2 linked regions of the Neurospora crassa OR74A genome follow. Each later gene encodes a partner of the first gene's protein in a complex. Links are inferred from orthologs where the notes say so. Each region holds a gene or a part of one and is shown on either strand. Other genes may lie near its edges.

Region 1 (15,407 bases):
CCCCCCAGGGCGCGAGCCCCATGCCTTCGTCCCGGCACATGGGAATGATGTCCCGCTCAAAGTCGCGCGAGGCGGCGGACCACCGGCCTTGGTAAATGCAGAACTGCCGAAGTGCGTGATCGCGCGCGTATTGGTTGGCCTTGCTGACTACCCAAGCCGGGGTGTCGCTAACACCCAAGTAGAGAACCTTGCCGCTGGTGACGAGCTGGTTCAGGGACTGCATCAGCTCGGGGATGGAGGTGGCAAAGTCCCACCAGTGAACGTAGAGCTGTACAATGGTCATATTAGCATGTTTATGTGTGATGTGTGAGGGCAGAGAACGTACGAGATCGATATAATCCGTCTGGAGCTTCTTCAAACTGGCCTCAACTGAGACACGCATACTCTTGGTGCCGTTGCCTCCGAAATTGGCCATGATCTCTGTTTCACCATGGCCAGCTCTGAAGTTGGTGGTATATTTGGTTGCGATGACTGGGATGACGATTAATGTCTGCTTCACGCGGAATCTAGGGGTCTGACGTGTGCTTAAAAGGCTTCAAAGAGGTTCGCAAAGTAGTAGCTTACCAAGTTGATCTCGGATTCCCCGTTTCTTCATCCACTCCCCAATCCATTTCTCAGATTCCTCCTTCTGGTAGTTGTTGGCAGTATCAATGAAGTTACCTACACATCACCCAACATCACCGAGTCAGCTTTAGCGGAATAATCCATAGGAGTTTCCCATCATACCTCCGTTCTCATAGTAAAAGTCCAAAATGCTCTCCGTAGTCTCTTGATTGCACTCTCCCATATAATCTTGCCTATGAAGTAAGGTTCCGCAGGTCAGTAATCAAACAATATCACGAACGGTTAGCAGCACAAGTCCGATGTGTACAACCTACCACGAATCGCCAAAGTTCATCGACCCCAGACAAAGCGGACTGACACGGACGGATGCAGTAGGGGACAGCAAACGATAGCGGCCGAGGGGCCCCTTGGGGGGAGGCGCCATAGGGAGGGCCATTTTGAGTCAAAGTTAGGAGATTATATCGAAAGGTGGGATGGGATGAAAAGGAAGACTAGGATGAATGACGAGAGATGATCAATACACACGGGAAGTTCATAAGAGAAGGGACAGGGAACGGAAGGAAGCTTAAATTATATGCCAGTACGACGGCCGAGGTTAGATCGGCTGGAGACTACGTACAGCCCAGATCCATGATTCGCAAAAAGAAACAAGGATATCACTTTGCTAAACAACGGGAGGCACACAGGAGGGTCGTTCCCTCTTTCCTTCTGTATAAGTTAACAAGCGGAGATAAGGCAGAGATCACGGAGGCGGGCCTGACGAGTACCCCTAGAGCAACCTCAAAGTGTACAGGTGGGATCGGCTTGGGGGCAATGGCAAGCTGAAGCGGGGGTCTCTAGTTTACGCTCTTCCACAGTGGGATGCCAGGCACGCAAGAAAACTGGGGATATTCGGGCACCCGAGCAGACGGAGGTGATGGTTTCGATCCCAGATCTCAGAGTCCGTGTACGGCAAGTGGGGTTCAATCTAAGGTGGACCATGGACGATCGTGGGGAGCGGACGGGTTTGCAAACTCCCCGAACGACCAGAGGATAACTTTCGCAATCTCGATCTTGTGCCATCACTTTCTACAGAGATCATTGATTTATAAGTCCGGCTGGAGATAAGCTTGTCTCCGTGGAGGGAGTTCAACGACCGGAAGCAAGGGCGAGGCCAGGGTAGACCAGAAGCACCTTTACCCCTCTTCGGACACTGCTCCGATGATTTCATGACTTCCGCATTCGAGATGATCCCCACTTGCGTCCAGGCGCGTTCACCTATTCTTTCAATGGGGTCAATGCTTTAGGTTGGCTCTGTTGGCGATACATCACTCAACTGTCGCCAGGGGCTCAGTTTTGCACAGATGAGAGATACATGTAACTGCTGTATAGTTCCATTGCGAACCTACACTCGTACAGACCCAAGGTATCCAGCCAACCCTAACAATGACTTCATTTTGTCGCTAGACGAGTCCTCTTCATAAACTCATGAACACCAATATACGTGGCCGCCCCTTTTTCTCCAATCCAGTGTAAGTCGTGTCGTATGATGTCGTATTTGTACAAGCAATGCAACCCCCCCCCCCCGGCGGACCATGTCGCCTTTAGCATGTCCAGACGCCGACGACACCGTCTTGACGGCCTTCGACCATGTAGCCGTCCCTGATGCGCACGCGTTCGACGATTGCAGGGGACTTGGCCTTCTCAGCCTCAGTGATGCCGGCGCCACAGTCCCAATGCCGTCCCTCAACCTTATCGTACACCTTAACCACATCCTCACCAGCAGCACAAACAATCCGGCGGGTGTCAAACATCATGCTGGTGATAGGGTGATCATATGCGTAAGCGTCGAAGATTGATCCAGTGCGAAGATCCCAAATCTGTGATAAGGAGCAGTGTCAGTGCCACTCGGTTTCGTAGTGTTATGGCAGAATGAGGAAGTTGCTTACACGAATGCTTCTGTCCAAGCTGCCAGTGACGAGATGAACATCATCAAACTGGAGGCAAGTAACCGGGCCGGTATGTCCAACCAGGCTACGGTGCACCTGTCCACTTCTAAGATCCCAGAGTCTAACCATACCGTCAGCAGTACCGCAAGCCAGAGCAGACTCGAAGACCTGCAGGGCACCAACGAAGTCTGCGGATCCGTCGGCAGAGCGGCTGGTCTGTCTCCAGGGACCGTCACTGCTGCCCATTGCGGTGGCTTGGGCGGCGGCCCACATCACGTCCAATGTCTGCACGCAACGACCCTTTGTAAGATCCCACTGACGAAGCGTCTTATCGGCGGAGCCAGAAACGAGCACATCTCCCCTGAAATGCAAGGCCGTAATCTCGTCGAGATGGGCCTCGAGAGTGAAAAGAGGGCAATCAGCCATGCTTCCGGCAGGCGGATCGACTGCGTGATCGTTCGGGTTGACAAACGCAAGGTCCTCGTCCTCCTCATCAACCTCCTGGCTACCCTGAGGGTCGTAGTGGGCCTTGCTCAGGTCCCACAGCTTGATTGTCGCATCCATAGAGCCAGTAGCCAAGAAGTTATCTTCAATTTGAAGAGTGCGTACAGATGCCGTGTGACCTTCAAGAGTACCGATGCAGCGCCCGGCGTTCAAGTCCCACACACGAACCGAGTCATCCATTGCAGCCGAAACCATGAGACCAAAGGGAGCATCGAAGTCGAGAGCCGTGATGTTATCCTGGTGCGCGCGCATCGAGCGAATCATCGTGCCTGGCTCGAAATGTTCGTGGAGAATCGGGAGTGTCTTCTTGCGATGGTTGCGAGGCTTCTTTTTTCCAGGAGGAGTGTTGGCTGCTGGTAATTTCTCGTAGATGGATTGCGACATGAATCCTTCTTCAGTTCTTGATAGATCCTCCTCAGACTTGTTCGGTGTCGCCATCGCCAACGATTCCGCCTCATCAGCAAGTTCTTGAGCTTCGTCTAGCCTGCTCTCAACATCCATGACTGCCAGTTGCGGTTAGTAGGAGGTCCCAAGATTAAGCGCATAAACACTTACTGTCATGCTCTAATACTGCCTCCTCTTTTTCAAGATTAGCGAGCCTGTCGAGGATGATCTTGCGCATGCCGTGCAGATTGGCGATTTTGTTATCAATCTCACGGATCTCGCTGCTAGCCATATTTTTCCGAACACCAAGCATTTCAAGTTGGTGCATCATTGACGCCTTATCTTTTTTTAACCTCTGTACCGCGTGCGGGCTTCCTGGTTGCACAGGGCTCTCATCGAGCATCTTCCTCCCCCGAGACACCCGTCGCTTGTGCTTCTTTCCATCATCGGTAAAGTCGGGAAAACTGGCCTGAAAGCCCTGGAATAACGAGTATGAGTTGGAGCTGGCAGGGATGTTTCTGAGAAGCTCATCGGGCACGTAGGCCAGTGCTCGAGATTGAATTTCCTTTGACGACAGCTTGGAGCGCACTAAATCGGTGGGCGTCGTACGCGCTATAGCGAAGACGCCCCGTTGAAGCGTGGGCTTCTGGAGCTGCTTGTGTATCTCGGTCATGGCGGTCTGGTAGTGAGGATGAGAGGTCGGGTCGGTGATGGGGCCGATCAAGTGACTTGCTGTTGTCGTCACTTTGCGACCGAAGGCCTCGAGACCCCGAGTCTGTTGCAGTTCACCCATCTTGCATTAGTTTGTGGTTCTTGGGCTGCGCCAAGCGCAATGCGGAAAGGACTCAGGAGAGGCAGAAGGGTGTCATCATGGTGGTGAACAGAGTGCGGGAGACGAAGGTGAGGAGAGCTCACAGAGATTACGGAGGTATCGTCATCAATCGACACATCGTCCGGGAACACATCACGGTTCTGATCGGAGTTGGCCATCCGTTGGCACCGGGAGGCTGCTACCCAATCGAAAAAGGTTCAAAGAAATGCCCAAGAGGTTGTTGCCGCCCGACGAACTACTAAAGCGCAAAGAGGTCGAATAGAAGCAGGACACTTGGACGACGACGCGAGAAAAATCCTGCGGGCGCTACTATCGCTGCCAAATCGCACGGCCGGGAATCGAGCGCAGCTGCGGCTAGTGGTAGCGATGCCGAAGCGATGTTGTCAATGTCAGAGTCCGCGGCAGCAACATGTAACCACGGCAGGCTGAATCAATTGCAGCAGCTGCGGATGGCCCGATGTTGTAGAGGTTGATCAGGTAAGGTACCTCGCTCCAAGTTCGCGCGCGTGGATGCGGCACAAATTTGATGTGTGAACCTGGTGAAGCACCGTGGCAGGAATCACTTTAGCTAGTCTGTTAACAGCTACCACCACACGTCTCTGGGACACATAGTTTGAAAGGTACCCTCTAAACACACTGGGCCCTCGGTGGTCGGTCTCTGCGGCTGGCAGCAGGCTGGTCGCAGCATGTTGGCGGGGAGGTGGATTTCCCGGCCAGCCGATAGCGCGCCCCCTCAATTCCCATTTCTTCCCCTCACCCCCCTGGCCCTGGTTCCCCGCACGCAAGCGACGCGCCAATTCAGGCTCGGCCTCCGTTCAGAAGGGGGTGTAACGAGAGCAGGGATCCGGTGTCTGCCAAGAAAGCCGCTGGAGGGCCAGTGGGGTACCGGATCCGCAGTATTGGTGCGTCATATGTACCAATGTACAAATGAACAACCTAAATTTTAACAGGGCCGTTGCAACGTGGGAATCTGATTGTTGTCCGATATCGAAGTTGCGATTGTTTGGTCCCAACTCTGCCGGTTGAGGGTCCTCAGGAGGGACTCAACGCTCACTGTACACAACAACTGCCTCTTGTCTTCTTTGTCAATTGATATCTTACTTGCACATATAACCCAAATCTCTATTCCAAGCCGTTATTGCACCTACCGCGACACCTCGGCTTTCAAGATGGACGCTATCATCGAACTGTCTGACGTCGACAAGGCGCTTGATCTTTCGCGCATTCGCTACCAGCTAATGTGAGTCAAGAGAGAGCTCAAGCACTGAACGATCACCTCGACAATCCTGGAACCTATGCCAACTGATACGTGTGTCGAACAGCCGTCTAGAGGACACCATCATATTCCATTTGATCGAGCGTGTTCAATTCCCCCTCAATAAGAACATTTACATCCCTGGCGCCGTCCCGCTCCCCGACACCGACCTCAGCTTGATGGACTGGTACTTGTGGCAGCAGGAGCGTCTCCAGTCCCTCATGCGTCGCTACGAGTCACCCGACGAATACCCTTTCTTCCCCGACGCCGTGCAGAAGCCCATCCTCGAGTCGATCGACTACCCCCAGATCCTCCACCCCAACAACGTCAATGTGAACGATCAGATCAAAGAGTTCTATACGCAAAAGTTCCTTCCCAGCGTGTGCCCCGACTTTGGCCGTGAGGATCGTGGTGTCAACAAGGAGAACTACGGTTCCTCTGCTACCTGCGATATCGCCTGCCTGCAGGCCATCTCCCGGCGCATTCACTTTGGCAAATTTGTCGCCGAATCCAAGTTCCAGTCTGAGACGGAAAAGTTCACAAAGTACATCCAGGCCGGTGATCGCGAAGCCATTGGAGAGGCTATCACCAACCAGGCTGTTGAGAAGAAGGTGCTGGAGAGATTGAAGCTTAAGGCGGAAACCTACGGTACCGACCCGTCAATAGGCGCCTCCGAGGCGGAGAGCCAGCGCAAGATTAACGTCGAGGCCGTCGTCGCTATGTACGAGGAGTTCGTGATTCCTCTTACCAAGGTGGTGGAGGTTGAGTATCTCATGCAGAGACTGGAGCCGGCGCCCGCCCAATAGCCATGATGCAAGTAACCGGCACCTAATTAAAACAACAACAAAATCCACAGCACTGCAGGCAGGAACTGACGATGCGTTGAAATTTCCCGTTCACGTTCCCCCATTTCTCGGTGCTTCATAATTCTCGCAATCCATTATGGTAAATTAGTTGGCCGCGCCAATGCAATCCCCGATAGCTTTGACAGCCTGCTTGAACCTGCCCGCCTCAATAAGCATCATGAAACCCTGTGACTTGACGCCCAGCTCTTGGAACGCACGCTTGCTGTCGGCTGAGTCTCCCTCCTTGGTAAAAGTGTAGGTGCCCGCACCGACAGCATGCTTGCGCATCTCTTCGTCCTCAGGGTGGAAGTACTGCAGGCCCTTCTCATCGCGTAGCCGCTTGCGCTTCTGCTCCTCCTGGTCCAAGCTCGACTCGACCTCGACGTACGCGCGCGACACCACCAGGTAGTGCGTAAACTCGTATGGCTCTTTGTCGTCCACGGCGTCCTGGATCTCCTCGATCATCATGTTCCACATGGGCGGGATGACTTCGGCCGGCATGTTGATGAGGCGCTCCGACAGGACGATGCCCACTTGGGCCTTGCCGGAGGTGAACAACTCAGGCAGCACAGACAGGCTGGAATCACCGGCCTTGACGGCCTTGTCGGACAGGTACTCAATCAGCTGCGCGACCGGTTTCTTCTCGCGGTGCTCCCACGCGTTGAGCACGGTCAGGAAGGCGTAGGCGTCGTTGGCCTTGTCGTCCACCTTACACGTCGAGCCGATGGTGTTCTGCTCGATGATCATGTCGCTGAGCCCGGACAGGTCGAAGAGCTGGGCGTCAGCGTCGAAGAGCTGACGAAGAAGCGTTTTGACGCCGTGGAAGTCGATGTCCTTGTCGTAATTGAACAGCTCGAAGTCGACGTTGATGATATCCATGTCCTTGTTTCCAACCAATGTTAGTATTACGACTCCCGGCCAAGAGAGGTTCGACCAAGATGCAAGTGGTCGGTTTAACAACCGAGCCTGGTGCACCAAGGGAAAGTAACTCACCTCATCCGAGTCTGAGCTGTCACTATCCTCATCCATCTTATCGACTGTGGGGTCGTTCTGGACGACCTCCTTCTGGGCTTCCTCTCTCGATCTTTTCTTGCCCATCTTGAATGTGGTACTTGAACGACTCAATAAAAATGGTCCTTATTCGACTTGTCAGTCGCATATTCCACACATGATTGTGTTCACAGGGCTCCTTACTTGGTGATATGTGGTTGACTTTGAGGTCATTCAGGCCGTCAAGCTCAAAATTTTGTAATGCAGTTGTTTAAGATTGAAATTGATAAGAACCTTATCGCCTACCTGCATATACCCTAACCCTTCCAGCTTTAGATACAACAAAATGGTTGCTAGGACAACCACAATTGCCCAAACTCCAAAAAGGGGGGGATTTCCAACCACGTTCACCCAGTTAATGATCTGCCATTGTGGAAAACTGCCACCGCGAACGATAAATGGAAGATACTTCATCTTTACGGACAGTGCTTGTCTATGGATGCCAGAAGACTGCAGGCCAGTCCTATCCAAAATGTTGACTTGGCTGCACCATTGCTGCCCTCAAACTAAAGTATAAGCTAAATCGTTGATCTTCTTACACATCCTTGATGTTATCTACTGAAAGTAACTACGTACCCCTTGACTTGTGCTGCATTCAGCTGGCGCAACATATTCCTCAACATTCTGACACCAGTTGATCACCAGCAGCGCTCCTGAGTAGCTGTCAAACAGACCATCCTCCCGCTACTCTCACACCCCAAACGTCTCATCTTGGTATGGGTCGACATGACATTGTCGGCGGCCACAGAGCCCTTTTCATGCTTACATAACCAATTCTCGGCAGGGCATTACTTCCCAAATAGTGACGTGTATCACAAACTACACCTGCTCAGCGCCCCAGCCCGCATCCACCTCGCGCATGTTTGGAGGGGGCTCAATAGAGGGCACAAATTCGAGAGCGACATAGGCGACTCCGACAAGGAAGATGATCGAGCCGATAATGATTGTAGCCCAGTGTCCATGGGGAATGATGCAGCCGACGAAGATGTAAACTGTACAAAGAGTAGACCGACGATTAGTCACAATAACTCAGCAATAGCAGCAGAGGGGGGGTGGGGCAACAATAACGTACAAACACCACGACCAAGAAACGAGAACATGAACGACGCATAGCGGTAGACTTGGTGAGGGATCTGGAACTCCAGGAGACCGGTGGCTGTGAAGAACAGCGTCAGCGTTTCGGAAACCATTTGAATGTTTCTGTCGACGTATGCGACCACCTACCAACACCAAACAGGATCGTGTAGCACCCGAGGATAATTGGTTGACTGTCGACAGTAACTTGGTCAGTTTTACATCTCCATACGATTTCTATCAGCCTGCGCAACAGTCCGGACAAAGCATGTAACACCCTTGTGAGCATAGGCGGGCGCGCACTGGCAGCCGGGACATCCAGGCTTCAGGACCATGATCGATTTCGGCGACCGCCCAAGATTGCTGCGTCCACAATATCCGCTCGTGGAGGGAAGCGCATAACTTTGTACAGTCGGTCGGCTTGCTAACGGGCGTACAATGAGGAAACGTACATTCCGAGAGGGAAGAACTGGGAGACACCACCCAGGATCATAAGCACTGCAACCGCGAGGTTGACAAAGCGACTAGAGAGGAGGACATCATGTTAGCAAGTAGTTCTGAACCTCGAACGGATGCTTGGATGCACGCAGTATTGGGGGCCAGCGGTCTTGCTTGTTCTCCGCTCTCATCCCCTTCTTTCTTTTCTTTCTCCATAGTCGCACGAGCGGGCGGATGTGAACGTACAAAGAGTCGGAGAGATCCATTATGGCGTTGTTTTAGTAGTGGCTGTGGTGGTGGAGGAGGTGCGAATACGTCGCAAAGGTTGGTAGAATGTCGCAGGAACAGGTGCGATCTGCTGGGTTCGACGCAATCTAGAGAGCGATTCAAAATGAGTCTCGGAAATTTGCGCGAGCGTAGAGATAGATGTGGCCACTTGGTGGTGGTTCTTGACGGAGCAACGAAAGATGTTGTGAGGATGGTGTATTCTACAGTGTTGCCTGGAACAATCGAAGCTCGAGGTCAGGAAGCTGGTAGCCTCACCTGCACCAAACAGGAGGGTCGGGTGGTCCCTGCCGGGGTACATTGTCCACTAAACCGGCCCCAAACGCGCGCAACGTGGGAGCTCCGCCCTACGACGCTGATGCAAGCGTGCGCGGCCTCTTGTCACTGGCTCCTACGGCATGTCAGGGCAGGGGCTTTCCGTCTGGAACTTTGAAACTTCCATTGCCGCATCACACTTCGCCATTGCAGCGAGGGTGTTGCAATTAGGGTTTACAGCCATGAGACGGCTATTACTATGCAAAACCAAATCCACTGGACGGCATCGATGAATAGACGCATAACCACTATGCGGATACTATGACTAAAGGTCTCTGGCTCCAACTGTCATTGGGATTTCCTCAAAAAGACTATGCCTTCCGTTGCTATCTATCTATGCACAAGTCAAATTCCATGGGTATGCTCTCCCGAATAACTCCAGTTGTTTCCCCCGAATTCACAGCATGCCGCTTTTTCAGCCTCCGCATGTCAATCATAACCCAACTCGGCAAGCTCCCGTTCCTTTGCGGCCAGCAACTCTCTCATCATTTCGGCCTCGCGCTCCAACGCTGCTCTTCGCTCTGCCTTCATCCGCTCGCTATCATTGTGGGTATCTCTCGAGGCGCTCCGCAAAATCGGAGCTGATGTTGGTGTCCCAATAACCGTACTGTTTGAAAATGACCCTGGACTGTGTGCTGGAGTCAGACTGCTCATGGCTGGGGACCGGGAGGCTGGTTGCATCCGTAACTGGTCTGCCGGCGAAACCTCTCGGTGTATCTCAGAACTCGGCATCGGGTTGAGAATGGATTTGATGGAAGACAGGCGCTTATGACTTTCGTTGTCATTATGAGACGAAGGTTCGTTCTCTACAGCAGATATCGACCGCTTTCTCGATGGGGACAGAAATGATGCTGGTGAAATGGACGCTTGACGATCAACTGGGAGCGCCAGTGAATGAATGGGAGCCAGTCGATTCTCGTAAGTGAGAGATGCATGAGCCCCGTGGTGTGGTTGATTTGTATGAGATGAGTGGTACTGTCCCAAGGCGGCTGAAGACAGCGGGGATGCCTGTCTGTTTCGCCGCAATTCGTCCTCAGGCACGAGCGTCAATGGTCGCACTGAACGTCGGCGGATGCCGAGATTAACAGATCCATCTTCGTTGACCGTACCTTTCTCCATCGGAGGTTCTGATGTCGCGGGTGGTGAATCTGGAGCCTCACTTGGCTCAATTTCGGCATCACCTCCGGCGGCAGGAATCACACGTTTTCTCCGTTTGATTATTGCCTTTTTCATGGTCACTGGCCGATGCACACCGTGCAACTTGTAATAGAGACCTTTACTCGAGTTAGCAAATTCCATCCCATTTGTAACTTTTCAGGCCATAAGTTCATGCACTTACCGCACGCATTGCAAATGGTATGACCGGCTTCGTCCCTTCGCCAGAGCGGAGTAATGGTAGTACCGCAGTTTTGGCAAGCAATAACAACGGTTGTGTTTTGCGATTGTACGTGTAAGGCGGTGATGTCCATCTCAGTCGGTTCTTCCCCGCTGCCCTCTGCTGCTTGAGGTTTCTTGGAAGACGCGGCTGCTGCGCCCTGACACTTTAGCACGTTGAGACTCGCACTCTTGGAAACGCGGTTGTTGTATGCGGGGCAACCACCACACCCCTCCGCACCACCTGTGCCGTTGCATCTTCCGCCTCCAGGGCACGATCCTGACGGCGTCTGATCGGCGGCCACATACGTTGCTCCCGGGTTGCTTGGCAGTAACGGTGCGGTTGCTTTTTTGGGGGACAATTTGGCCGCGGCCTGCCTAACATTGCTCGCCATCACGCTGGGAGGGCGCCTGATGTTGGCGGGGCGAGCCGCGTTACGCGCCTTTAGGTACAGTCCGCAAGCGTTGCAAATGATGGCTCCTTGAGGTGATCTTCGCCAAAGAGGAGTATGTGTCGTACCACAATTGCTACTCAGTCGTTAGCGCTGGCCTACAGATTCAGTCATTAGGAAAGGGACATTCATACCTGCAGACTTGACCCGCATGACCCTGAACAGAAGGCACAAGTCCCAGCGTTGCAACGTTCACCACCCCCACGGTTTCGGCTGGAGATTGTGCTGGTTGGGCATTTTGGATTTTTGGAGACTTCTTGCGACCAGACGGACTCTGCGCAGCATGCCCCGCTTTCTTTGAATTCGGCGAGAGCCCGGATTCGGACTTGGAGGCCGCCTCGTCAACCGGTCCGGTTGACTCGTGCTCCGGGGGCTCGTTACTTGCGGTCGGTGGGGGTGGCCTTGATGGAAGAGCCATACGATCAGGTGCCGAGTTACCTTCGATGGAAGTTTGGTTGTTCATAAGGCGAGTGTCATCCGGCAATGCCATTCCTTCTCAATGTGTTTGCGTATGGATCTCAACCTAACAATATGTATGCTCAAGGCTAGTTATCCGTCTTGAGAAGGGACACAATGTGTTTGAAAGCCTGTTGAAAAACAAAGTGGATGTTGTACGGCGCCGGGAGTCTTGGGGATGCGCAGGCTGGCTTCAATATCGCTCCGTGATCGTCAAGAGGCGGAAACGGTATCGAGGTCGGCGGTCAAACACATGCCGAGATCGATCGTTGGAGTTGTACTTGGATGGCAAGTAAGCCACCCCAACTTCTGGGCAATGTGCGCTAAGGACCAGGCGGGATCCGGGGCCAATACAGAGCGCCGGTACCAGGAGAACAGCACGTGTTGGGTGTCCGAAACAGGCGATTGATGGGGTCAAATGGCCAGAGGAAGCGAGTACTACAGACCGCAGCAGGGTGCCGCTGAATCAGAAGTTGGTTATGCTGGAAGAAAAGGCTTGGACACGGCGCCAGGTTGTGGTACGAGCGGGTTCGCGTTGGTGGCAAGACCTGGACGGTTGTGTACTCCGGTAGAGTGCACGAGGATGGCGAAGTCGGTCGGGATCCGAGGTAGCAGATAAAACTGAAGGGTTGGTGGACGGAAAAGGCAAAGCAAAAAAGAGGGCGGGTCTGGGCCAAAGGCTGGTCTTGAGGTTTTCTGTCGTCTTTCTGTCTTTTTGCGTCTTCTAGGTGAGTGGACAGACGAATGTCTGCATATCCTTCCCCCCTTTGCCTCAAGAGTCTCTGTTGTGCTTCTGATTACTACTCCACTGCTCCACAGATCTGTTATCTGATCTACGGATAATCCTGGCGAACCAAAGGGCTGAGAGACGGTTGGATACCGTACGCAGGAGGGCTTCACCCAGGGGTTCGTCTGCTAAGTAGTCGTTGCCAAGGACAAACACGTCTGGAAGGGAGGAAGGTTCGACAGTGTCTTAGCCTGAAGGAGGGCCACAAGAGAACAAAGCGGTTTGATTTTACAGTACGACATAGAGAGGATTTGGCACAACAAAAATCAAACCCGTTTTCCCACTTGTTTGGGAGACCTGATTTGAGATCATGGGACGTGGAATTGGGCTGGCTACAGGATGAAAAAGGTCCTTTCTCAGGTCCAGTGTCACTGGTCCCCTCGACTTGGGGAGCCAGATGCTGCAAGGGAATAAGTGACCCACAAGGTACCCAGATATGTCCAATCACGGACCACGCAATGTCAGCAGACAGGGCTTAGATGAGAATGACCGGGGTTCCTTATGCGTGCATTGGGTACGGGAACGCAGTGCCGACGGGTCAGTAAGCCGACCAATTTTACATACTCTGTAGACGCAAGTGTACATTTTGACGCAATGCGCCGCCATCAAGTCTCGTTTACCTATGTACACTATCTAGTCTAGTTCTACATTGGTGTTTCTTTCCAGCCCATCAGGCTCAGCAGGACATGTCTCACGACCTGAAAATATGGTTTTGGAAATGGTCTTGGTTGCTATGGTAGAAGGTACATTACACTATATCATCGCCGGGACAGCACCCAAAAAAACACCGACCATCATTTCCGAAAATCCATCCCGGACCTCAAGTGGTCTGGAAGAGGTCACCTGGAAATCTGGCCCGCCAGGATTACATATTTTGAACCAACCAGTTACCTCTAGCGTACATTCAGACTAGTAAGGAGTTACTTCATTCAAGAGTTACCTCTAGTGTAGTCCGCTTTACTTGAAATTACCAGAAACGGACCACCACATTTATAGTAACCATTTTCCGAACGCCATTTGCAGGTCATGGGACACGTCCTTACGCAATCGCCTACGTCAAACACAACATATCTTTCCATTTGAGCCTGCTCTATCGCGGACATTTACTCATGCCACGGATCGGGAAAGCGAAGTCAGTACGATGCAGCCGGTCGCGGTTCTGCGTACTAATTAATGTCGGGCTCGGCGGTTGGATTAATGGAAAGATTCCTGTCTTTATCGCCTCAATCAGACAACCTTGGCGCTCCTCTGATCGGCCTATCGTGCATATTTGTACATCCAGGACGCCATCCATCTCATCGTACACTACAACCTTGCCAAGATCGGGACACTCCACGACAGTCCACGATAGTTTAAGGTGGTTAGGCAATATTTTGTAAACAGCAGTGCCGTTTGTTCCTGCGATCGCAAGGAGTTTTCTCTCCGGGTCACGGGTTCGTCATCACTCATCTACTCGGGCTGCGAAACGTTTGATCTTCCTTCCAAGCTCACTGGGGTTAGCATTTGTCACTAGGCACTTACAGCTTTCAGTCAACCTTGCAACCATTCCTCACACGCTCATTCACCCAACCTCAGATATCCTTACAACCCAAGTCTAGTTCTATGTAGTCTAAAGAAAAGAGAAGTCTATTTTTACCCACCCCCTGAGCAACCAGCCCAGCAATCACCAACCGGACCCGGACCAAGTGGTTGATCATAAGCTCTGACCGATACTTTAGCTCTTTTTAGTAGCCCACTGTACACTAGTGCACACCGATCACCTCATCCACCCCCGGCAGCCGATGATCTGATAGCGATAGCCCCAGAGTCCCGAAAAGAAAAATCAAAAGAAGGAAAAGGAAGATCATTCCATGATGGGGGGACTTCTGTGGACCCCCAATCACCCCATCGATCCATCAAACCTGTAGTGTACAGCCGCATTACATGCCAAGCATTTTTATCAATTCCCGCAACACGGATCAGTTTATCTGTTGATCCACAGGGTATCATCTCCGAACTCCACTCTCCCTGTGGATTGTTTTCGAACGTTCCATATCCGGATACCGTAAGCTTTTCGTTGACATTTGACGGAGAAAGACACCACTTTAAATCCACGTGCGGATTTTCTACCCTGCGTGGCTCGGCCAGATCTGATGGATGTTGATCAGCAGCTACATAACTAGTGTACGTAGTGTACTTGAACACTAACAAAGGCTCGACGCCCTGTCATGACTCTGTCTTCTTTGACTAGGTAACCAGTCCAGAAACAAAGGTCCTCCGGCCCACTAGTCAGTATGATTCGCTTCGTTGTTCACACTAGTACCTACGAATGAGCCTTTTTCGATATCGGCGCTTTTCATCAGCGATGTTCCTTGGTACCCTTCGAAGTTTTTAAAACACCTCGGCTCGGTGATCAAGGCTCTAAACCAACCGGCAACTTTCCCAATGGGATTAGGACTACGGCGCATAATCAGCATTGCAGTGATTGGCTTTGTTTTTGTTGACGTCTCGTGGACCAAATTTGCAATTCTGCAAGGAAAAAAAAAAAAAAAAAAAAAAAAAAAAAAAAAAAAAAAAAAGAACCGTCAAGGTGTACTACCTAGTATGCATCCAGGATGAGGGTTTTGGAATCACGGAGGAAATCCGCAGCATAGACAGTGTCTATGTTGAACCAGTGTATGTTTACATGTGCTTTGTGGAACATCGATGTTCAGATTTTAGACGACTTCGATCGTGAGTTCAAACCCTCACTTGGTACTTGACTTCCTGTTAAATTTCCGAATTGAACAAAGCTTTCCATATTAACACCAACCATCCTTTGGAGAGTTGTGGGGCAATTGTTGTACCTCAACAAATCTTGTTCGACGAGGAACCCATCGAAGGGA
Region 2 (14,408 bases), about 3.3 Mb from region 1:
GAGCTGACAAAAGCCAACAAAAATGCGTGACATGAGAGGGGATGCTTGCGAACGCGAACGTCTCAGTTCCGGTTCGGGAAGGAAAAAGCGAAGATCTCATTTAGTGTTACACTGTTCAATACTCGTCGAGTTGGGCAGAATGCGTAGTCTGGTAGTCTAGTGTGTAGTGAAGTCCCGCTAACGCACGTTCCAGGGTAAGAGCGCAAGAAATGTTAGTGCCGTTGATCAACAGGCACCAAAGGGCTACCCCAGAAGGCACCCTTGAGGTTTCATCAGTTGGACCCTCAGCTGGACCGGGGGGGCAATTGACTGATGCCGGCGGTGGCTTTCAAGGGGAGGGAAAAAAAAAAAAAAAAAAAAAAAAAAAAAAAAAAGACCCCAGCGGCTGAGAGAAAGAGGTTGTCTCGCTTCCAAAGATGCTCCCATGTCTACCAAGTAAAACTCCATCTAGGTTCCAAGTCTATAGTCTACAGTCTTCTAGAGACTCAACACTCACTCAACCAAACAAAAACTCTTCATAATTCCTCCTTATCCTCTGCATCCCCTCCTCCAACCCCCACCCCTTTATCTCACATATCCTCCTCGCAATATCCTCCAAATACCCATCCATATCCTCGCCCGCCACATGCAAATCGCTCTCCACCAGCACCTGCCCATCCGGACACGCCCGAATCACATCCGCAAACTTGGCCTCTCCGCCCGCCGTCCCCAGATTAATCACCATGGAAAACGAAAAGTAGCACTTGACCGGGATCTTGGGATCCAAATACTGCTTCAACACCTGCGGCGGCCCGCTGAAGGAATGTAGACACGCCCTCGGCGGGAACGGTTTCGGTTTCGGTTTGTACGGCTTCTTCTTGGGCTTCATGATTTTGTGTAGTTGCTTGGGCTCCCCCACAAGCCCAAATTCCGAGTAATCGGATTCCTCCTCCTCATCACTAGACGAGGAGGAAAAATCCTCCGACACGCCCTTGGCAATCATCTTTTGCTTCTTCCGCGACACCACCTCCTTCTCATGTCCCTTCCACAGCGACGCCAAGGCATCGAATAACACGCCGTGAGCCTGCACGCCGTGTAGAGAGACGGGACGACCCAGCTCGCCTGCCAGGCGAAGTTGGGCTTTGAGAACGTCGACCTGGTGCGCCATCTTGACGTGGTAAGGACTGAGCATCCGTCCTTCTCGACCGCCCGGTGTTAGGTCGCCGTCGTTGCGCGAGGACGAGGACGACTCATTCACTTTGCCCCACGGGAGACGAAACGCTTTGTCAAGGCCGATTTCGCCGACCAGGGCTGTGGGGTGGGCGAGCAGGCGTTGGCGGGTTTCTTGGAGAAACTTGCTGAGAGGAATGGGATCGGGGAGAGAAGCGATGAAATCGGCATCGGGAGGGGGCGATAGAACGGTAGAGTAGTGCTTAGTTTTTCTATTGTGTGCCTGTACATCCGTGACCTCTTCTCCTTCTTCTTCTTCTTCTTCGTCTTTGGAGTCATCGTAGAGCTGGTGAGAGAACCAAGGGTGCCAGCCGAACGCTGGGACGACCTTCTTGGGGGTTTCGGATGAACTGCTTTCGCGCAGCTCGTTCAAGTCTGTGATGCCGTGCTGCTCGGCTACGGAGGCGACGAGGTCTTGGTCTTGACCGCGTGTGGCCATGATGGTGAGAAGTCGAGCTTGCATGTTGTTTATGCTGGAGATGGAAGCCATGGTGTCGGTGGGATGACAGTGGGCGTCGTAGACACCAACGTGCCATGGGAAGGGCTCTTTGGGAGCTTCATCATCGTCTCTTTTGGGAACTTCATGAGGTATTGATTCGCCGGTGGAGGGACACATGGTTGCTGTGCCCTGAGATGATATGGAGAGTGCCGTAGTGGCGATTATTGACACTGTGGGAGAATTAATGGCAGTAGAGTTGGGATGATGTTGAAACACAGTTGATATTTATGTTCGATATATTCATGTGGAAAATCGCGGATGCAAAAGTCAACTCCACGGCCCGCTTCACCCATTCTGCCATCCTGTCAGCCTTCAGGAACGCCTCCTCCAACGGATGATGTCAGTTGGAGATGCATGTGGGGAAGCTATTCCCTGTCCACAGAGTATCATCCTTGCCCTCCCAACACAGCCTCAACTTGACGGTACAATTGAAAATGCCCAGTCTTGGCACACGTGTGGTCTGGCTAAGGGAAACTCACCCTTTGAGTTTGAATAGGTAGAAATATAGTGTAGACTACCAGTACTATATAGCGGAGGCTCATGCGTAGATAACAAGCACTCGCAACATGGGAAAAAAATGTCTGTGAATCCTGGCTGCAAGGGCCACTCGAACCGGCATTTTTATCAACGTCGATTGAAGGCTGTCGAGGACTTTTTCCCCGTCCAACCTTATCTTTGGACTTGGTGTCATGTTGACTTCATTGATGGTTGAACTTCGGCTCAGCTTTGACACCCATGCCGATGGGCTGATAAGACGAAGCGATGGGACGATCGCGGGGCTTCCTCAGTCCGGATGTACGTCGGTTAAGTGACACAAAGGGACCGGTGAACATGTACATATGCAACTTGTGGCCGTCAAGCAGGAATCTCGATCATCTCATGGAACGACAAGTGGAAAGAGGGGGCATCGTTCTTGGTGGTGTCCAGATTCTTGCAAGAGCGGATCGAAAACGTAAGGGAATGGCTGCCAAGACCTCATTATTCCGGGGCACGTCAACCGCTGGAGGTGTTCACGGCCCGCTAAGAACAGCCCCTTGTGATGATCTGGTTGCTCATTCGGCGCCTGCCGAAGTGTCAAAGCGGGCGTAGTGGACCCTGAAACTGCTTCCCCAGCTTTTAAGCTCCGACCGATCCCTGTTTCCAAACGGCTCAAGTCCCCCCTGCTTTTTCCCGGTTCACTCTCCGTTTCCCCGTCTTGCGCACTTCAAGCCCGTTACACTTTACATCCGTCATGGCCCTCGGAGCCTAGACAAAATCTCCCCCAAATAACAAACTCTTATCAAGTCGTAAACTCAAACTGTACTAGTTCAGTGCCACAACCTCGGGTCAGGGAACAAGATAACCAAGGGAACTGTGCTCCAAGCGCACGCACGGCATGTTGGTCTCAGCGGCAGATATGCCCCTCGCCTGCAAGAAAATCCAATAAGCTGCATACCTTATACAGCTTCATAGACCCCCTCCCACCTCACTCTCCAACTCGCCGTCAAAACGCAAACCAGAAAACCGAGGCCTTCACTCCAGGGTTTCGACATCCTCAACATCATCTGTTGCCACAGACCGCAAACACCCCGCACAGACACCATGGCCTTCCTCAACCCCGTCCATGGACTCGTTGTCCCCTTCCTCTGCCTCTTCACCATTCCCATGGCCATCTTCGCGAGTATCACCTCCGCCCTCGCCTTCTCTTTGCTCATGTTCCGCGTAGCCATCGTCTACGTCGACATAGCCATGGCATTCGTCCCCCAGTTCATCAAAGGCCGTCACTACCATAGCGTCACTGACGGCGAACTTCTTACTCCACGCCGTCTATCCTCTAGTAGCACAGGCAGCGTCGGAAACAGAGCCGCCGGGGATAGTGAGGACAACTCGCCCTTAGCCGTCGTCTCTCCCTCCCCTTACTACTACAACGGTTACGACTCCCACCAACGGAGTCCTCTCCGCCGCAAGAGCAGCTACGGCTTTGGCACCGTTCGTCGCTCTCGCCGCTCTAGTCAAGCATCCATCTCGCCTACCATCGCTTCCATCCGGGAAGACGCCGAGATGGTTCCCCCTCTGCCCGAGACCGGCGGGCTGGCTCCCTCGGTCGGCATCCAGCGAGACTTTGAAGGAGTAGGCGGGTGGCGACTGAACGACAGCAATGACGACGACGACGCCTGGCAGAACATCAACTCACGGCTGGAACTGCCGATGGAAAGGTGCTCCAGCTTTGTGGGTCGGTACCACCACAGTCTGAGCCATCGATCGCATAGTGCTGGGCCGTCGCAATCGTTGGAGGCGGGTTGGATGGGGGGAAGTACTAATGGTAGAAAGGGGACTTTGAGAAGTGGAAATGGCACAGCTGGATCGGGACATTGTGCCGAGGCGCAAACGAATAATTGGCATGGTACGGGCGCCAGGGCGAATAAGAGCGCTTTTGGAAGCATATCGAAGATGGCGCTGCCGCCGGGGGATAGGAGGAACAATCACCGTAATGGAAACGGGGTGTCGCCGATGGGTATGGGGATGTGGGAGAAGGAGCAAGAGTACTTTGCGGGTTTCACTTCTCAGAAAGGGAAGTGGAGGCCTACGGCGTGAATAATTGTCATGTTATGTTTGTCTAATTTTGCTGATCTGGACAATGTTCGTATACGTAACCAGGGCCCCTTTTTTTTTTTTTTTTTTTTTTTTTTTTTTTTTTTTTTTTTTTTTTTCGTTAAACAGATACAGACACTGTTATGACAAGTTACAAGGATAGAACACGTCTGGGTATTAGCGAAAAGCGATAATAAAGCAAAACATACTTCAATATGATCACGCTAAGAAATCCGACTTGTTTTGAAACAACAAAATAATGACATGGTATTATTCCCACCCAAACTCCTCCAGACGCCGATCCCATCCATCCATGCATCATATCCCTTTCGCAAGCGTCCGTAACCTCATCCTAGCCCAACCTTCCCATCATACCCCATCCCCAGCCATCTCACATTACCCCCAAGCAACCGCCCCTACAACGTCTGCCAAAAATAATTGGCATAAAAGAACCTCGAAAACCGATGCCGGTCCACATTAACCACGCACACATCCCCCCGCCTATCATTCCGCACCACCGCCCTCGTAAACTCCCCTCCATCCTGCTCCTCCCTCTCAATCTCGATTCCCAAGCTCCTATACACCTTCAACCTCACAACAACACCTCATCCTCCACGCTCCTGACCTGGCCCCCATTCCCGGCACTGCCGTTCCCATTATTTTCTCCCGTCGATGTGGCACCACCAGCAGCAGAAGCATCACCACCATCAACCCCCTGCAACTCCAACTCCTGCAACCGCGCCTGTAGTTCCGCCAATTGCGTCTGTAGTCGCTCCGTCTCCATTTCTAGATCTGAAACATTTTTCGCCACGCGGAACTTTTGCGTGTCGAGACGGGAAATCAACGAGGCGTGCTCGGCGGAACTGTGCGAGGACGTGACTTCTTGGTGCTGGGACTGTAAGGTGTTGAGGGTGCGCGCGAGTTTCTTGAGGTTGGTTTCGGATTCGCGCAGGCGGAGGTCGCGCGCTTGTTGTAGCGTGGAAAGTGATTCGGCGACGCGCGAGACGGCGTGGCGGTCGGGCGTGATGTTGAAGTTTTGGGTCGTGTGGGCGATTAGCTTGAAGGGAGGGAGGGGGTTAGTGGGTGGTTGATAGAGAGAAAGAAAGAGGGAGGGGTGGGTAAGGGGGATGGGAAGAGAGGGAGATGAAGAGGGGGAGGTTCTTTGGTAGGTTGGAGTGATGTAGAATGAACGGGGAAGCTTACGGTGGAGGGGTCTTCTTCGAGAAGCATTTTGGCAGGTTTAGTTTGACTTGAGGTTGGTGTTCTGTTTTAATTCGGGTATATGTAAATATTTGCTTCTGCGATCGAGTTGAATTTATGAGTTCCGTGACGGTAAAAGTGTGCTCGTTTAGTTTCTGTTGTTGTAGAAAAGTGTTTGTTCGCGAACGAACTCGAGGTCGCGAATGGTTTGTTGTTGTGTCGCAATTGTCGAGTCCCAAACCAAACAACAGCGGGACCCATTCATCCTGGGCGACGACGGGACCTAGCGGGACAGGAGCCGCAACAGGACCTGAAGTGGGACATTCCCTTATCTTATCGCAGATTTACATGGGGACGGGACCTCGGGCTATCACCGGTCAAGGATCGGGCATGCTGCAGTGGGTTTCCCCAGTGTCGTTCGTCATCGGTGGCACATTAAACAGAGCTCCAGCCACGCGATAAAACTACTGGCGGCACTCTCAGCTATCATTAACCTGGTAATTCCAGAACCTTGCTGTCCACCTCCGTCTCACACCACCACTACCTACCTTACCTACAAACCCGAGATACCAGAGTCGCCCGCTGCCGCACAATTCACGACCATATACCTACTTCTATTCAGGATACCAGTTTTCTTGTTCCTTCAACTAAATACACCCAGCTTGTCAAAATGACACAACTTCCCTGTAGGTGCTGGTCAGCTCATGGGACTCGTTTTCATTGTTCTTCCAAGCTTGGCACAGGTAGCTAACATCCGTGGTTACAGATGCAGTGGATGCGGAAACGTGAGTCCCCGAGTTGCACAATCGCCCCAGGATCGCCGAGTCATCTAACCAACGACGATAACGATGCAGTCCGCTCAACCCCGCCGAGCTCAATGTTCTCCGGGCGCAATATGAGAAGGAGGGAGAGATGGTTGGCGTCCAGACCAAGTTCAACTACGCATGGGTACGAACCAACACCCATGATTCCCGTTGAAAAGAAATATAAACTAAATAACTTCTTTACGAAATGCTACAGGGCCTAGTAAAGTCCAACGTACGAGCCGACCAACACCTCGGTGTCATGCTGCTATCAGAAATCTTCCGAACATCGCCCGAGCGCCGCCGCGAATGCCTATACTACCTCGCCCTCGGCAACTACAAGCTCGGTAACTACGCGCAAGCGAGGAAATACAACGACGCCCTCCTAGAAAACGAGCCGGCAAACCTCCAGGCCGCCAACCTCCGAGCCCTGATTGACGACAAGGTGACCAAGGAGGGCTTGATGGGAGTGGCCATCATTAGTGGTGTGGCGGTTGCCGCCGGTGTCATAGGAGGCGTTTTGCTCAGGAACTTGGGCCGCAAGAGGTAGTGGGTAGGAGGGTGAGCCGGTCGCCTGATGGATGATGACATATGGCACAAGGTGAAAGGGCAGAAAAGGCCGCTCCTTGATGACGATATGGGACAACAGGGTCCGGTGTGTATATTATGGGCTATGATTTGACGAGCTGAATCCTCTTTTCCTTCTTTAAAGTCCCGATAACTGGATTACAGACATTCCTTTCTATAAGACATGGGTTATTTGGTTCACATCCCCCACTTCCCCCAACTACCTATCTTAGATTGTTGTTGGCTTGTTAGACTCCATCTCTGGAGATGCTCTTTCTTGAATCGAACTCGGCTCACGCCCTAAATTCGCTTTATTTGACGGCGTGGACTTTGGTTACTGCATCTAGAAGCGATCCCAGAGATTGGATGCTCGAAGACGTCGCGGGTGTTAGTTCTTGGCGCTAGCCTTGAAGAACTGCCAGGTGTGACAACAGTCAACGCAGAGGTGCTCCTCTTTGAAGGCTTAGACCCCGTGACGGTGTTACTGTACCTCTCGCTTTGTTTATGTTGGAAAGCCTTGGTATCACATTGTCATTCCAAAAACCATATTGTAGCGTTAGAGGTATCAATCGTGTTACTAAACGATATATCAATACATACACCCAATACCGTACCCTACCATTGTTGCTCCTCAAAGATGTGTGCCTTGCCGTGCCTTGCCCCGGTCATAGCCCACTTTCGTGCATGCGGGACCATTTGTCTCAGGGTCAGGCTGCAGCTCGACGCCGACACATTGGCTCACTTCTCCTGTTAACGACCTGCGACATGCTTAATCGGGTCCCTTGGGCTTTCCATGCTGCACCTAATGAAGCCCAGGGCAGACTTCATTTCTTCCCCTCATCAGGCCGTTAAGAAATGCAGTATCAATGTGACATGAAACATTGCCCATATTCTACCTTGAACCCCATCCGATTCATGATTCACGGGTCGTGGATGAGTATGGAAAAGGACTACCTACTTGCAACATTGTAATACATCCAGTATGTCTCAGCATCAACATTGGACAGATACATCAGTGAACTATATAAAGGGACAAAAAAGAGTGAGGGCCATATTGACCCGTGGCGAGTATAAGAAGGGAAAAGAACAATTAGGTAATTACCAGGATCCATTATACATCCTGGTCTCAAATTACCGTACGCAGAGGTAACGCTGTGACGCATGCCCGGCCTGCGCCGACTTTCCGAGGCCTAACCAAATACAGCGGTTACAGCGATACCCAGGGTCCAATGGGATGGCTGTCATCCCTCTTTTATTGCTCGGTCGGATCTTACCTCAGCGCAAGGCAGGGAGGCAGGTACAGACACCACCTACATCGATCTAGCAAACGGCTGAACCTTCTCCAACAAACCGACCTTGTGCCATCATCCATTCCATTCCTTTTCTCCTAACAATAGAACCCTCGCCACAAAAGAGCCGACAGCCTCGAACGACGGAAGATTCCCCTTGACAACGCGCAAGATCCGATACCTGTCCATTAAAGTTGTGCCGCGCGACTGCTCCATCCCGTTGATGCCGTCGCCGCTGCGAATCCTTGAATGTAGGACGCCAACGCTGTAGATCACAGCAGCTGCATCAAGAACATCGACTCCATCATAGTGGGGCAGCCACTTCACTTCACTTCACTCAAACAACCTACATCACCTAGTACTTCAAGTGCCAGACCTCCACCTACAATTAGTATCCTCGCCATATTACGCGCGGGCTTCTTGAATTCCGAAGCCAACTGTATAATCCTTGGAGATCTCCTCTCCGTCATTCGAAACACTCGCCGACCCCGATATCAAACATCAAACTGGCCCTGCGAGGAGCGCTCCAAACCATCGGCCTCACCGTCCAGTTAGGGCTCGCCGCCTTTGCTGCTTACAACGCAACCCAAAGGCTGCTGGGCCGACCGACGGCGATGGCCTCTCCCGGATTTCCCCCGAGGCATCTCGATGCGACAACGGGTAGAGAAGTCGTCTACTGCTATGGCTGCGAAAACGAGTGGTATCGTGACGATTACCCCCATCTGGACCTAGAATGCCCCAGGTGTCACAATGATTTCGTCCAGATTGTGGGTTCTCCCATCTACCGTCCAGCTATCGCCACGCTAACCTTTGTACAGGTCGAACCTGACAACGATCCCCGACCAGGTGTTCAACAACAAGGTCACCGTTCAGACTCGGACCCGGAGGAAGATGACATAGAGCAGTTCCTCGAGCGTGGCCCCGGGTCCTTCTTCATGCGACGATCGGTGTACCAATCGCCAGATAGTCCCTTCAACCGTTCAAGTGGGAACGGTCTTGAGGATCTTGATAGCAGTCCGGACCGGCCGCGTGCCCGCCCAGATGATCCTGGCGAGGCCGTGTTGTCGCGGTTCGCCGACATGTTTGTCGAGTTAAGCGGCGCGAGGCCGGGACAGCAAGGGGGAAACGCCTTTGGGACACAGCCGCGGATACAACGTACAACCTTCACCAGAGCAGGAGACGGCATGGCTAGCTTTACCTTCACGACCACGACAACTGCAGGAGGCCCAGCGGGAGACGGGCCGGAAGCGCCCGCTTTTGACACGTATGTTCGCTCGCGACATGGCAATGGTTTCCCTGGAATTCGCAGACACACAATCATTGTTGTGACTAATAGGAGGGCTAACTCGAACGGTGATGGCAGTCTGTTTAGGGGTCTCTTTGGCAACATCCCGCCGCCGGGCGCAGAAGACCCCGGTGGCGGCCAGGGCCAGGGCCAAGGCGGTGGTCCACGAGGGCCTCCTCTTGGATTTGCCACTGGCCTGCAGGACTTTATCGCGACATTGCTGAACCCACAGGCGGCAGTCCATGGCGATGCCGTGTATACCCAGGAGGCACTCGACCGCATTATAACGACCCTCATGGAAGCTAACCCGCAGTCCAATGCGGCTCCTCCAGCAACGCAAGCCGCTATTGAGAAATTACCCAAAAAGATCCTCGACGAGCAGATGGTCGGCCCCGAGGGTAAAGCCGAATGTACCATTTGCATCGACGACATGTACAAGGGAGAAGAGGTCACGGTGCTACCGTGTAAGCATTGGTTCCACGGGGAATGCGTCACTTTATGGCTTAAGGAGCACAACACGTGCCCTATTTGCCGAATGCCGATCGAGGGCAACAACCCATCCGGGAGCAACAGTAACAACAACAATAACAATAACAGCCAACCGTCCGCATCACGCCAAGAAGCCAGCACCAACTCTGCATCAGCCTTCGCGTCCTCATCCGCACCAGGAAGAAACCCCTTTGAATCACTTAACCCCTTTGGATCACAAGCCCAATCGGCCAGAGAGCGACTTCGACGCAGCGAGCAGGAGAGAGAAGAGCGCCTCGAGCGGATCCGTAACGTGGCTGGTATTAGGCGTACCGACTCTCAATCCGAGGGAATCTCCCGCCGAACTTCACACTCGCCTCCCAGCCGTGAGAACTCACGTTTCGACATGCGATCGCGCGATAGGGACCCGTCGCCACCAAGGGATAGGGGCACCTCGACGGCCTGGCAGCCGAATCCGAGCAGCAATTCTCAGAGCAACATTAGCAGCAGGTACAGCGGTGGATTGAACAACTTGTGGGGACGCAATAACGGTAACAACGGGGAGGGAAATTCACGGGATCGAGACGGACAGCAACAGCAAAACCAACAGCAGCAGCAGCAGCAGCAGAGTTCGAGTTCTGGTAATGGCGCGCTAGGGTGGCTTAGGGACCACTTCGGCCGTGGTTCTTCCGGTTCTGGCTCCGGGGCGGATCGGGATAGGGAGCGCAGACGCTGAGCCTGGTCGGAGCGGTCATGGCATGTTGAATTGCGGGTGGCTCGATTGTACAGTTGTGTATTACAGGATCGGCTCAAATACACATACATACAACGAAGGCAAAGGGAACAGACACATGGATCGTTGGTTCATCATGATTGGGCTTTCAGGCTTTTGGTGAATAAACCAAATATGGTTCTCAAGGCCACTAGACAGATCAATGAGACTGGGAAGTTAACTGGATCGAACGGATAAGAAGAGGTTGCGTTGCAGAGCAAGAATTGCACATAAAGTGCAAAATGACGTTCCAGGGCTTGTATAATATATTTGTCGTTCTTTTTTTTTTTGCTGGTGCTCGTTATCTGCTTGTTTGGTCGCTGCTTTCCAGCCTTGCTTGCGATGATTTTGTCTTTTTTCCCACATAGCCGGACATTGACACTTTCTGGTATCACTTTGACCCAAAGAAAAGGATTGTATGACTTATATTCTTAGGCAAACCATCTTTTATCCTGCCGTGCATATTTCGTTACGTAGAAATTATCTTCCCTGAACTTCCTCCACTTCGTCAATACTTCAAGAACATTTATACAAAAATGCCACTGGGAGATACAACAAATAATCTATAGATGATCGATCATACCTGTAGAACAAACGAAACCCCACCCAGTCTTCACATTATAATTGCTCACCTTACCTTCAACCTTACATTCAACTTTTAACGTTCAATAACTTGTCAGAAACAAAAGTGATGCTGTCATCTTTTAGTAGTGTGCCCCCTCACCTCACCTTTTTCAAACCGAATGAAACCCCTCCCCCAGACCGAGCTAAGCTAAGCGAGCTAAGCGACGCCCCCCGTCGTTCGTAAGCTTCCCACTTTTTTTTTTTCTTTTCCCTTTCTTCTTTTCGGCTCGGTTCCGTGTAAGCTGATTGGTTGGTTGCGTTACTTAGGTTCAGCCCAGCCGGCGGCCTCTCGGTGAACTAATGGAGACTGGGTATGTAAACTAAACGGCTGCCTGGTGATCATGAGGGGGTTCAGTTGGTAGGTAGGGATATTGTGTTATTCTTCTGAGTACTGTAGTAGTTTAATCTAAGGGCAGTATGTTAAGAAAACCGTGTTGTCTTGTCTGGAGAGGGGCAGGCGGGCCATCTGTCCTTTTTTATCTTTACCTGAACTCGGTAGTCTTCGTTTAAGTTTGAGTCAGAGAGGTCAGGCAACCTTTTGTTTGTTGGGCCAGCAGGACTTTGAGGATTTCCACTTTCCACCAGGTGACGACGACGCTGGACTGCCCTGGACTTGACTTGACTTGACTACGTAGGCCAACAATACCCGACGATATACGATACACGATACTGGAGAACTTGCCCCTGGAGACGGACGGTGCATCGCCACTTTCATTAGGTTCCCGTCGTCGTCGTCGTCGTCGTCGTCGTCGTCGTCGTCGTTCGGTTCGTTGGAAGCCTTTTCTCACCTGCCTACGTCCCGCCGTACCTACCCTACGACATCCGGGACCCAGGCATCTACACTAATCGGTTCCGTGTCGCACGGCACGGTAATCGGTACATTGGCTGTAGACGTCTCGTGCCATTCATTCCCGGATCACAGCGTTCCGCGCCGCGCCGCGCCGCACCGGGGTCAAGGTCAAGGTCAATCGGGTCAGTCAAGGGGGATTTAGGCCACCGTACCAACCAAACACCACTGGACCTCACGGCAGTGCAGTTCGCGACCACACCCGCCCGGCCTTCGGCGTTGGACACTCGGCCGTAGCAGGGCATCACCAAGGAAGCGATGATGCACGGCTCAAAACACACAGCGGCGTTGTTCGCGCTGGCTTATGGACGTGTGGTTTTGGGATTAGAGGGTATGTGAAATTTGAACTTTACCTAGGTACCTATATTTGAGATTAATTGAGTGGTGTTGGTAAGATGGATTGATTGACTGACTGACTGACTGGTCTTTAGATGTCGCCCCAGTAGCACCCGCAGCAGCAACTGTTCCCAACCCGCAGTCGCTGTATATACAGTTTATGCACCCCACTCCGCGGTCTTATGGTTATGGTCAGGATTTGGTATGTTGTATTTTATTTTGTTTACCTTTCTTTTCCTTGTGCGTTTGACTTCTTATCCATGCCATTCCCTCTTCTTTTTTTTCTTTTGAAGAAAATTCAGAAAAAGAAATTGAAAGGAGGAAAAAAAAGAAAAAAAAACAAAGAAGAAAAAACCTCCACGTGTGTTTGGCTGACTAGAGGTGATCATCAAAAAAACAGGGTTTCCGCCTCGAAGTCAACCCCTCTGTCACCAATCTCCCCATCGGCAGCAGCGATTACAGTTGCGCCTCCCCCAACATCACCATCAACAACCAACCTTTGCTTTCTCCACCGAACGAAGACGGGTCGTTTGTGCTGGATAATGATATCAAGGTGGATCTTACTTGGGAATCGCGTTGCTTCCCTGGCGGCGGCGACGATTCCCTCCCTAACGGTAACTCCGAAAACAAAAACAAGGAGGTTGATGTGAAAGCGCAAGTAAATCCCACCCAACAACGATCACAATCCGTTACCCTCACTTTGCAAGCCGTCGATGGACAGCCGGTGAAAGAAGAGTTGAGTTGTACGATCTGGTTCAGACAGGAGGAACCAGTCTGGGCGTTTGGAGTGGCGGGGTGGTGTGTTGATGCGAGGATTCGAGATGTTAGGGGGAAGACAGGGGGGTGGGAGGTTGTTTTCGATGATGAAAACGAGAAGGCAGACACAGAGGCGAATACGGTGGGGAAGATGGAGGGAAAAGGAGAAAGTAGAGAGGAGAGATTGAAGAGGGAGAGGAAGGAGTTTGAGAGGGAGGTGAAGTGTTTGGAGTATCAGAAAAGCATTGCTACTGCTGAGGAAAGGGACAGTACCGGTGTGGTTGGTCATGGCTATGCGCAAAAGCCGGTGGTCATGAACAGGAAGTACTACGAGGAGAGGAGACAGCACTTTGAAACGCTTTGCGCAAACCTCCCGCCGAGAGAAAACAACACCAGCACCCCAGGCCCGTCTGCTCATCCGCCATGGGAACTCCCGCATCATAGACCAGCTAAACCAGCTCGTCTGCCATTCCCAGATTTGCTCTTGGACTCAAGCCCCGGATCAGCCCACCAAACCACCCTGAATTCCCGCCCTTCTTCCCTCCGCGCCTCTATTTACGCGCACCTGATCAATCTCTCGCCCATCCGCCTCGCCGCCTACATCATCTTCCTCTCCCTCCTCATATTGGCCTGCTTTTTTCACTCTCTCCATCGGGTACGCAGCCGAAGAAAAAGATTGGCCCAAGGAAGTGGCGCGGGAGAGCCTGTCGGGATAGAATCACTTTGTCCCGGATTTTACGGCAGTGATGAAAGCTGTGGAGAGTGCAAGGCTAGATATTTTGCTCAGCTGCAAGCTCGAGATGAATCTGGGACTGTGATCGGGACTGGGGAATTTGAAGGTGAGGGTGATAATGATGAAATGGCCGAGAAGAGGGGGTCGTTGGAGGAGAAGAATGAGGGGATGTCAGAGCTGTGTATGGAGGAACAGGAGAAACAGGAGAGACAGGAGAAAGAGAGGTTATCAGAAAGGGAGTACCAGCGATACTGCGAGTACCATGCGGTGCCGGAGGATGGGTTTGCGTTGAGGTATGAACCTGGGTCGGAACTCCAGACGGTACATGAGCCTGTTGAGCAAGTCGTTATTGATGATGAGAGGATTTGGGATGAGAAGGAAACGTTGGTTGACTCGGAAGACGAGCGGGAAAAGGAGCGCGGTGAAGAAGTTGGGGAGAGCAGTGGCGA

What was found.
Region 2: the proteins of NCU07724 (region 1) and NCU05313 are in contact, whole or in part, in a crystal structure (PDB 3UUX), measured with the Saccharomyces cerevisiae proteins. The link is inferred for Neurospora crassa OR74A from reciprocal best matches to the Saccharomyces cerevisiae genes MDV1 and FIS1. Residues at the interface, in NP_012423.1 of Saccharomyces cerevisiae: Asn95, Lys96, Phe99, Arg100, Leu102, Thr103, Tyr104, Ile105, Ser106, Asp108, Leu109, Asn111, Glu112, Ile113, Pro114, Glu145, Thr146, Ser147, Leu148, Phe149, Gln150, Gly151, Phe152, Lys153, Tyr155, Leu156, Ala159, Gln243, Ser246, Ser249; in NP_012199.3 of Saccharomyces cerevisiae: Val4, Asp5, Phe6, Pro8, Asp12, Glu15, Leu17, Gln21, Ile24, Leu25, Gln28, Ala37, Thr38, Ile39, Gln40, Ser41, Phe43, Asn44, Trp47, Lys51, Arg59, Val62, Lys63, Thr66, Tyr69, Lys70, Ala72, Glu73, Ser74, Arg75.

What each region holds. Positions count from the first base shown.
Region 1 is NC_026504.1:2,070,020-2,085,426, reverse strand, and holds NCU07724 (mitochondrial division protein 1), read right to left. Parts: upstream 4,739-15,407; 5' UTR 4,371-4,738; coding exon 4,296-4,370; intron 4,156-4,295; coding exon 3,552-4,155; intron 3,500-3,551; coding exon 2,493-3,499; intron 2,424-2,492; coding exon 2,148-2,423; 3' UTR 1,836-2,147; downstream 1-1,835. Other genes in the region: NCU07723 (norsolorinic acid reductase), read right to left, coding at 1-268, 326-471, 565-660, 727-797, 879-1,000; NCU07725 (chorismate mutase), read left to right, coding at 5,382-5,452, 5,535-6,273; NCU07726 (bcp-1), read right to left, coding at 6,418-7,194, 7,306-7,410; NCU07727 (COPI-coated vesicle protein), read right to left, coding at 8,182-8,354, 8,435-8,518, 8,587-8,630, 8,889-8,960, 9,121-9,140; sre (siderophore regulation protein), read right to left, coding at 9,904-10,748, 10,814-11,376, 11,435-11,790. UniProt on the Saccharomyces cerevisiae protein: Involved in mitochondrial fission. Has a partially redundant function to CAF4 in acting as an adapter protein, binding to FIS1 on the mitochondrial outer membrane and recruiting the dynamin-like GTPase DNM1 to form mitochondrial fission complexes.
Region 2 is NC_026504.1:5,364,746-5,379,153, reverse strand, and holds NCU05313 (mitochondria fission 1 protein), read left to right. Parts: upstream 1-5,867; 5' UTR 5,868-6,149; coding exon 6,150-6,165; intron 6,166-6,245; coding exon 6,246-6,264; intron 6,265-6,333; coding exon 6,334-6,427; intron 6,428-6,499; coding exon 6,500-6,832; 3' UTR 6,833-7,458; downstream 7,459-14,408. Other genes in the region: NCU05309 (Cut9 interacting protein Scn1), read right to left, coding at 497-1,825; NCU05311 (hypothetical protein), read left to right, coding at 3,290-4,282; NCU05312 (hypothetical protein), read right to left, coding at 4,872-5,336, 5,483-5,509; NCU05314 (hypothetical protein), read left to right, coding at 8,753-8,905, 8,957-9,402, 9,502-10,627; NCU05315 (hypothetical protein), read left to right, coding at 12,393-12,465, 12,566-12,672, 12,871-14,408. UniProt on the Saccharomyces cerevisiae protein: Has a role in mitochondrial fission. Has a role in outer membrane fission but not matrix separation. Required for targeting MDV1 to the mitochondria.